Linked DNA regions of Mus musculus. The protein of the gene in region 2 binds, or shares a complex with, the protein of the main gene of each other region. Links are inferred from orthologs where the notes say so. Each region holds a gene or a part of one and is shown on either strand. Other genes may lie near its edges.

Evidence for each region.
Region 1: Pfdn2 (region 2) and Asdurf share a complex: the UniProt entries of both Homo sapiens proteins name them as parts of the PAQosome complex. The link is inferred for Mus musculus from reciprocal best matches to the Homo sapiens genes PFDN2 and ASDURF.

Annotation. Positions count from the first base shown.
Region 1 is NC_000067.6:53,349,647-53,354,093, forward strand, and holds the start of Asdurf (ASNSD1 upstream open reading frame protein), read right to left. Parts: upstream 3,107-4,447; 5' UTR 2,974-3,106; coding exon 2,884-2,973; intron 1,288-2,883; coding exon 1,234-1,287; intron 417-1,233; coding exon 341-416; intron 1-340.
Region 2 is NC_000067.6:171,343,952-171,348,488, forward strand, and holds the start of Pfdn2 (prefoldin subunit 2), read left to right. Parts: upstream 1-1,723; 5' UTR 1,724-1,760; coding exon 1,761-1,835; intron 1,836-4,537. Other genes in the region: Nit1 (deaminated glutathione amidase), read right to left, coding at 113-216, 337-588, 963-1,049, 1,617-1,618. UniProt on the Homo sapiens protein: Binds specifically to cytosolic chaperonin (c-CPN) and transfers target proteins to it. Binds to nascent polypeptide chain and promotes folding in an environment in which there are many competing pathways for nonnative proteins.

The DNA.
Region 1 (4,447 bases), about 120 Mb from region 2:
ACCAACCTGATCCATACACTAAGTTTCAGGACAGCCAAGGCTACACAGAGAAACTCTGTCTTAAAGGACTCCCCCTGCCACCCCCTCTCCCCAAAAAACCAAAACCAAAACCAAAACCAAAAAACCCCCCCAAAAACCAAAAACCAATAAACAACCCACTGTACATATCTTTGGAAGTCTAACTGGAAAACAGACCACTGTACTAAATCAACACACACATTTATTCAGATAGGGCTTAACTGAGGCACCATTATGAATCCCCACAAAAAGCTTACAAAAGGTTTTCTGTAGCATTCCATATATAACTCTGAAAACAAAAACCAAGACGACCACCACTCACTTTTGCTTTCAGAAAAGATTTTTGTTCGATCTTCAAGAAAGAATATGTTGCTGTTCTGTTGCTGCTTGTATACTCTCTGCAAACGAAATTGACAAGATCAGGGTATGACATGCACACTGATGCTGAACAGGATCCTGTTATCATTTATTCTTGAACTTCAGGAATATTCAGAACAGTAATTACCACAGAGAAACAAAGCCACTGAATACTACGCCACCCAGAACTGGTTGTTTACTTAGCATGCATCATCATACCACACACTTTCAGTAACAAAAGCTATCATAGCCACAGATTTATAATTTACTTCATAAATGAATAATACATGGAGACCTTTTCTGACCATATGGGTACAACACTATAGTTCTTTGCTGGCCTCAAGCTTCAGACACTTACTGTATCGTCACTACAGGTGCTGATGAGCGCCTCTACGTGTAAACACACATGCACCCTCACAACTGCTTACACACCAGTTACTCAGAAGTGTCAAACAGCATTTACACATTTTGACAGTTTGATCTCCAAAAATTTGTATTAATTTGCCTTAGCATCTAATATATCCCAAATGACAATATCAGAAATGTCAAGAATGTCAGTCATTACATAATCGCAGCTGATTTCTGAACATATTCATAAAAAAGGCATTAAATGGGTTAAGTATTTAGAATAGTAAAGTTTTCTGTGAAAAACTTCATTCTTTTTTGTTAAAATATAATAAATATTTTTTTATCTTTGAGATCTATTGACATATACAGGAAAAACAAATTTAAAACATGCAAAAACAAACTAGGATACCACGTTAGCTTTTAAATTATGATCTTTGAATTTTGTAATGTTAGCATAAATAATCGAAATCATAATTTTAATATACTATTCAGATTTCCACAGCAACTCACCCGATTCTTCTTTAGATTAGAAAGTTCATCCACAATAATTTTCTGTTCTTTAATCTATTAAAGTAAAGAAAAAAATCTAAAGTGGAAGATTTCAAAGTATGTTTAGCGAGAACATTTTAAGTCACTGCTTTAAAACTAAAGATGGGGTTGGGGGCTATAATGGACTGCCTGTCTAAATGGACACTGAACAAATCAACAGCACTCAGTCTGGAATCAGTAGAAGACAGCTTGAGAAGGAGAAGCATAGGCTTGCCAGGGGTCAGTTACCACAGCTCACATCTTTAACCAGGGTGAGCCACTGCCTACCCAAATTAATACCAATCTTTTAAGCCAGGCAGTGGTGGCGCACGCCTTTAATCTCAGCACTTGAGAGGCAGAGGCAGGCAGATTTCTGAGTTCGAGGCCAGCCTGGTCTACAGACTGAGTTCTGTGACAGCCAGAGCTACACAGAGAAACCCTGTCTTGAAAAAAACAAAAAACAACCAAACAAAAGAACCAAAAACAAACAAAACCTCTCCCGAAAACAACAAAAACCCAATCTTTTAGTTTTATAAGGTCTTGCTGTAGACAAAAAGAGAGAAATAAAATGAATGTGGGTTCTCCTCTTTACCAACAACCAATGGTTTTATGATGTATGCACTAGATGACAGCCAGACATTCGGATAAAACAAATGAAATGGTACTATGGTACTGAATGCCCTACCTGCACTGATCCAACATGATTTTCCACCACTGTATCATTCTATTTCAAGTATTAAGGACTGCATATTGCTGGTATCGTTAAGCTAGGCAAATAGTCTATTAAGTCCTGAGAGCTGTACTAATAACCTACAAAGCCATATTGAGTACGCTTTCCTTGAGATTCAAGTCTGCTTGTACAGTGTTTTTATGCTCATTACAGGAATGACAGGTGTCACTTTAGGTGACACCACAGTACACTGTGGTACAGCGGGAATTAGGCAATGTACTGAAGATATCATATAGGACAGAAAAAATACAGAATTTAGGAATGTTTAATATCTGAAAAGACTATACCCACACCCTTCCACTCTACACGTTTAAAGATTTTCGTCTGTAACTGGAAGTTAGGACTAGTTCCGGTATGGGGTTGCCTCCCTGAAATCCTGGCTATTAGGCAAGAGAATTATTCAAGTAATGCCTAAGCAATAATATCTGAGGCTGGCCTGAGTTATTTATGAAATCCTATCCTAAAGGTATAGAAAAAAATTAATTTGATAGGGTGCTCCTTTCTCTTGTTGAATAATAAAGAGATGACCAAACAGATGTTTTTAGGATCACTTAAAGTTGAGAATATATTTTAAGGTAACAGGCAGCTGAGAAAATCGGCTAAGAAGCTTTTGCCTGAGTCTGGAAGAACAGGTACAGACTTCTAAACTTTTATGATGGACGTCATGGATGGCACCCAGGCGGGTGCGTGGCTAACTGGATGAAGCACAGCCACAGAGCAACAGATCTGTGTGTGACTGAGCAACACATCTGTGTGTCACTTTTTTTCAGGGGACACGCCTCCATCGTCGCAAACCTGCAGGATGGAGGGGAATCAGCTGCTGGTGCTGAGAATGCACGGCGGAGGCTACAGGGCACAGCGGGGCCCGCCGCCCACCACCCTTCCCCGGCGTCCCACGGCACCTTGCTGCTAAGGGACTCGGCGTGCGCAGTCGATGTGTGTGGGGGCCCCGGCGCGGCGCGGCCATCGGCGTGCACCCCACTGCTGGGCATCGCCTAGCCGCGCCGCACGCCAAGAACCGCGACTGAGGAAGGAACGGCAGCCAGCAGCCCCGGCAGGAAGCCTGGGTTCCACTCAGGAATCCGCCCCTTCCGGCACCCCGACCAATGGAGTGCGCACACTCACGCCTGCGCAGTGGCAAGCGCGCGCGGGGTGGGTTGTGAAAAGTCGAATTAAGAGTTGTGCTCCACTGCAAAATGGTTTTCTGCTAAATGTAGGTGTGGCTTGGCTGCAGAATCTATGAATGGTCTGTATCGCCCCCTAGTGGATCCTATGTAAAAATAAATCACTATAATTTAATACTCTTAAATTTGGTTTTCTTCTCCTCCTCCCCCTCCCCCTTCCTCCTCCTCCCCCTCCTTCTTCCTCTTCTTCTTTTTCTTCTCATCCCCTTCCCCCTCCTCTCCCCTCCCCTTCCTCTTCCTCCTCCTCCTTCTCTTCCTCTTCTTCTCGTCCCTTCCCTCCTCCCCCTCCTCCTCCTCCTTCTCCTCCTCCTCCTCCCCTCCCCTCCTCCTCTTCTTCTTCAGATTTACTTATTTTATGTATATGATGAGTTCACTGTCTCTGTCTTAAGACATACCAGATGCAGATCTCAGGTGCAGAGGATACCATAGAAAACATTGAAACAACAGTCAAGGAAAATGCAAATTGCAAAAAGCTCCTAACCCAAAATATCCAGGAAATCCAGGACACAATGACAAGACCAAATCTAAGGATAACAGGTATAGAAGAGAGTGAAGATTCCCAACTTAAATGGTCAGTAAATATCCTCAACAAAATTAAACAAGAAAACTTTCCTAACCTAAAGAATTTGATGCCCATGAACATACAAGAAGCCTACAGAACTCCAAATAAATTGGACCAGAAAAGAAATTCCTCCCATCACATAATAATCAAAATACCAAATGCACTAAACAAACAAACAAACAAAAGAATATTAAAAGCAGTAAGGAAAAAGGGTGAAGTAACATGCAAAGTCATACCTATCAGAATTACACCAGACTTCTCAGCAGAGACTATGAAAGCTGGAAGATCCTGGGCAGATGTCATACAGACCCTAAGAGACCACAAATAGCAGCCCTGACTACTATTACAGCAACACCCTCAATTACCATAGATGGAGAAACAAAGATATTCCATGGCAAAACAAAATGTACACAGTGTCTTTCCACAAATCTAGCTCTATAAAGGATAATAGATGGAAAACACCCACACAAGGAGGGAAACTGCACCCTAGAAAAAGCAAGAAAGTAATCTCCTTTCAACACACCCAAAAGAAGATAACCACACAAACATAAAAATAACATAAAAAATAATAGGAAGCAGCAATCACTATTCCTTAATTTCTCTTAACATCAATGGACTCAATCCCCCCAATAAAAAGACATAGACTAACAGACTGGATATGTAAACTGGGCCCAACATTTTGCTGCATATAGGAAACACACCTCAGTGTCAAAGACAAAC
Region 2 (4,537 bases):
CAGAAGCATAAAACCCCAAGGCCAAGCAGTTGAGAAAGAAATGCTGAAGATCTGAGTTGAGGAAAGGTAGAGAAGCCTGGGAAGAGGCAAACTAAGGGCTATGACGTCTCACCCTTGCTGTTCAAAAGCACATGACAATTGTAGATTTTCTGATTCTGCTCCCAGTCTTGGCCACGCTCGTGGAAACCGCCCAAGGACAGCCAGATTCCACATTCCCTGGGGGGGGGGGGGGACACGACACACACAACTCTACCCCCTCTGTGGCAATCCAGGAACACTGCTCAACAGGGAGTTCTACACACACAACCCCCCCCCCCCCAAACCCTACCCTTGTACCTGGCAAGCTGGCTATATTGGCCCAAAAGATCCCCATTCAGTGGTTCGGACAGGAGTAATGTCTCGGCAGGGTTTCGTGCAATAAAGTCAAATGCCTCAGGCAGAAAGGCCAGGCAAGCACCCAGTCTGGCAGCCTCTTGAACCAACTCAGCACATGTTTTAAAGTTCTCTTGCTTGTTTGGTGTTGATGTTACCTGGCACACAGCCACCAGGGGCAGCTCCCAGGAAGTTGATGAGGACATGGTTCTGGGCCTGTGAATGACACAGGCAGTATCCTCAGATTTTCTATCTAGGAGAAACTCAGAGGCTCAAGTGGGGGTGGAGCCAGAAACTTTATTTTCTTTTGACTTTTTTCTTTTTTGAGACACGGTCTTTTGTAGCCCAGACAGGCCTTTCTATGTAACTGGGGATGACCTTAAACTCCTGGTTGATCCTCCTTTTTTTCGAGTGCTGGCATTACAGGTGACCCCAGCAACTTGTTTTCATTCTTACAGAGCATAATAACCCTAGAGCTACTGGAGTTCACTCATTACATGTTTGGAGATATCTTTGTCTCCCACTATGAAGTTAATAAACACGAACTAAGCAGCTATGCGCCAGAGAGAGAACATTACGAAATATGTTACCTGGGCTGAGTACAAAGTACTGGGGTTCGAAGTAATCGGTATCCGGTACACAGGAGTTGGTGAGGAGGCCTGGTGATGAAGCCCAGCCTGAAGAAGGTGAGAAATCAGGACACCTAACCCTCTTTCAAGCCGTAAGTTTCTAGAATTCTCTGCCATTTCCAGGCCTGGCCAGTAATCCCCTCCCCCAAGGCTTCGAAAATACTTTTTACTACTAGTAGCTAGGAAAAGATATAAAATGGGAAAATGGGAGAGGCGACTATGATCGGTGCCTTAATACCTCAACTTCCAGTGATCTCACATTAAAACTGAAGCCCTTTTTCCTTTGCCAAACGTTTCCGCAGTTCAAGTCATCTCATGGAACCTTCCTCGTTTCCCCAATTCTCTTCTCGGCTGTGCCACCTGCACAGCTTTATAGACTCAACACGTATCTTTCCCCTTATACCCGAATCTCAGAAGGAAAGTTCACCCTCCCTAGATCTCCACCATCTCATGGTGGGTAGATGGGTACAGGACCAGATCCCAACCCGAGCCCCCGCCCTCTGATTAGCGCGTCCTTCCCCGCCTCTCCCCCCCGGGCAAGAATCTCTGTTGCACAAGTTAAAGCATCGCAGGTGGAATTCACCGCAGCGGGCAGGGTTTGGGAGTAGGTCCTACATGAAGACACAGCCAAAACCATTCACGGGGTCGGATCTCAAGAGCTGCCAGGAGCCAGGAGCGCAGGAGCAAGTGGGCGGTAACCCCCCGGCCGGATGTGACGCAGTGAGAGTGCGCAGGCCGGAAAGCTTGCAGGTGGGGAAGATGGCGGACAGCAGCGGTCGTGTGGGCAAGAGCGGCGGGAGCGGCGCGGGGAAGGGGGCGGTGTCGGCGGAACAGGTGAGGAGCCGCGAGCGCACAAGGCACCCGGGGCGGTGTCGAATTCGTGTAGAAGATAAGATTTGTGGCTCGAAGGGGCCTTTAGTCCTTTCCACGGTCTCCATGGGCACGCACGGGGGAGAGGGGGTCTCTGGAGGTGATCACGAACCTTTCTAGAGCCTGGGTAGGTAGGGGAGAGGCACGCCCGCGGTGTGGGTGGGTAGTCAAGGGAGAAAGCCCTGAGCTGCAGGGTCTGGGAGGGTTGGCCAGGTCTCTGAGAAGATGGATCGTAGTTTGCCCCCTCTCCGAGGTACCCTAAAGAGCGTATGGTGTTTGGCGTGGCATCTAGTAACGAATTCCAAGCTGTTCTTAGTCAGTGAGTGGCTTATGTAGTTCATGGCTCAAAAACCGTGTTCACCATCACCAACACGCTGCAGAGCCACGTGACTCAGACTCTGAGCAGTTTAGTGTTCCGTAAATTATTTTGACTAAGGAGTCTGTGGTTTGTTTGTTTGTTTGTTTTGTCTTGGAGGTGGGGATGAGGGTTGCTATAGGGTCGGGTCCGGCCTTGGCTTTTCCGGAATTCACTTTGTAGACCAAACTGGCCTGGAAGATCCGCTTGCCTCTGCCTCCCACATACTGCGATTAAAGGCTCGGATTATTTCGTCTTTGAGACACGGTCTTACTAAGTGGCCTACGCTGGCCTCGAGCTTGCTCGGTGTGCTCTCTTTGCAAAGATTGACTTCGGAAGAGGGCAGAACCCACCCCCCACCCCCTCTCTCTTTCTCTTTCTCTCTTTCTCTCTTTCTCTCTCTCTCTCTCTCTCTCTCTCTCTCTCTCTCTCTCTCTCTCTCTCTCTTTCTTTCTTTCTTTCTTTCTTTCTTTCTTTCTTTCTTTCTTTCTTTCTTTCATGTGTGAGTACACTGTAGCTGTCTTCAGACACTCCAGAAGATGGAGTCCGATCTCATTACGGATGGTTGTGAGCCACCATGTGGTTGCTGGGATTTGAACTTTGGAAGAGCAGTCGGTGCTCTTAACAGCTGAGCCATCTCACCAGCCCCAGAAGAGTAATTTTAATCATAGGTACATTTGTCAGTTGGTTGTTGAACAATTCCTACAGGTAAAAGCATCAGCATAAAGAGTCTAAAACCCACACTGTCAAAGAGTTAGAAAGTAAGTGTTCAGGGAGAACTGAAGTGCAGGGGAATTCTGGAGATGGAAGAGGGTGTAGCCTCTGACATAGTGGGAAGGAAAAAATGCTAATGCTTTGGAGAGTCCGTCTTGTGTTTGGCTTTGCTTAACCCAGAGGAACAGGTAAATGAAATAGACCTTGTCTTAAACTTGGTCACAGCCAAGTGTGGTGGCCCATACCCATAATCCCCCTGGATTACCCTGTCAGTTCCAGGCTAGCCTGGGTTACAGAGTAAAACACAGTCTCAAAAACAAAACAATGAGACTTTATGTGTGTTTGCATGTGTATGTGCATATACCACATGTGTGCAGGAGCCCTCAGAGACCAGAAGAGTGGTCAAAACCTCTGATAACTGCCTATTAGCTACCATGAGGGTGCTGAGAACCAAACCCAGGTCCTCCGCTATAAAAGTAATCGTTCTTCCACCGAGCCATTTCTCCAACCCTACACTACAAACTTCTGCACATAATGAACTTTTCTTGCACAGTTTGGAGAGAGAGTCCAAAGTAGTGTAGATTTCGGATGTGGCAGGTAAGTAGGCAAGGGAATGGCGGGTAGTGGAATGGTTGGGAGGGTTTCCTGGCCTAGAATCAGAATGACCTGTGCTTGCTTTGTATTTCTTATTTATATATGATTTCTCTTGTTACCTTTTACCCTCGTCTATCTGTAAAAGCACAGTAGTTTTCCATTTCGTAACTAGAGTACTAGGCAAGAAAATCCATTTGGGTTTTGTTTTGTTTTGTTTTTTTCCACCATGACTAAATACAGAGACTACATAGTGTGTTTAACAAATGCTACTTAGAGCTGGAGAGATGGCCTCTGCACTCGAGCACCTGATCTCGCACAGACAGACACACTTGCACGCACATAATCTGAACAGTCTTTCTAAATGCTAATTTCCTTTTATTTTCTAGATTTTTTGGCTTAATTCTAAAGGCTGGGAAAAGTTAGTCATGTGAAGATTTTTTTTCGTTAGAAGTAGTGTGTTCAAAAGCATTGAGCCATGAACTGCTTGGCATTGAAAATGCTGGAGAATTTAAAGAGATATATTGCAAGACCTAAAGAGATACAGTCAACTTTGTTCTTTGACACAGGGTTTTTCACGTGGCCTAGAACTCACCAGGTAGGCTAGGATGGCTGACCAGAGAGTCCATTGATCCTCCCTTTCCTCAGCACTGGGAAAACAAGCCTCAGAATTTAAGTTCACTAGCATTCCAGTGCCAGGCAGTTCATGCCTCAGTACCATGCCTGCCTGCCTGCCTGCCTTTTTTTTCCCTCCTCCTCCTCCTCCTCCTCCTCCTCTTCCTCCTCCTCTTCTTTTTTCTCCTCCTCCTCCTCCTCTTCCTTCTTAAAAAGTGTGTTCTGGGGCTCAAACCCTGGTTCTTTGGCTCTTTACCTGTGAAATTTTCTTCCCAGCCCAATTTAAGGTTTATTACTGATGTGTGTGTTAGCCTAGTGTGTCTCTCACAAGGAAAATAGGAGCAGGTAATACTTCGTACTAGGTGCTTGTTTTATTTTCTGTTCTTTATCA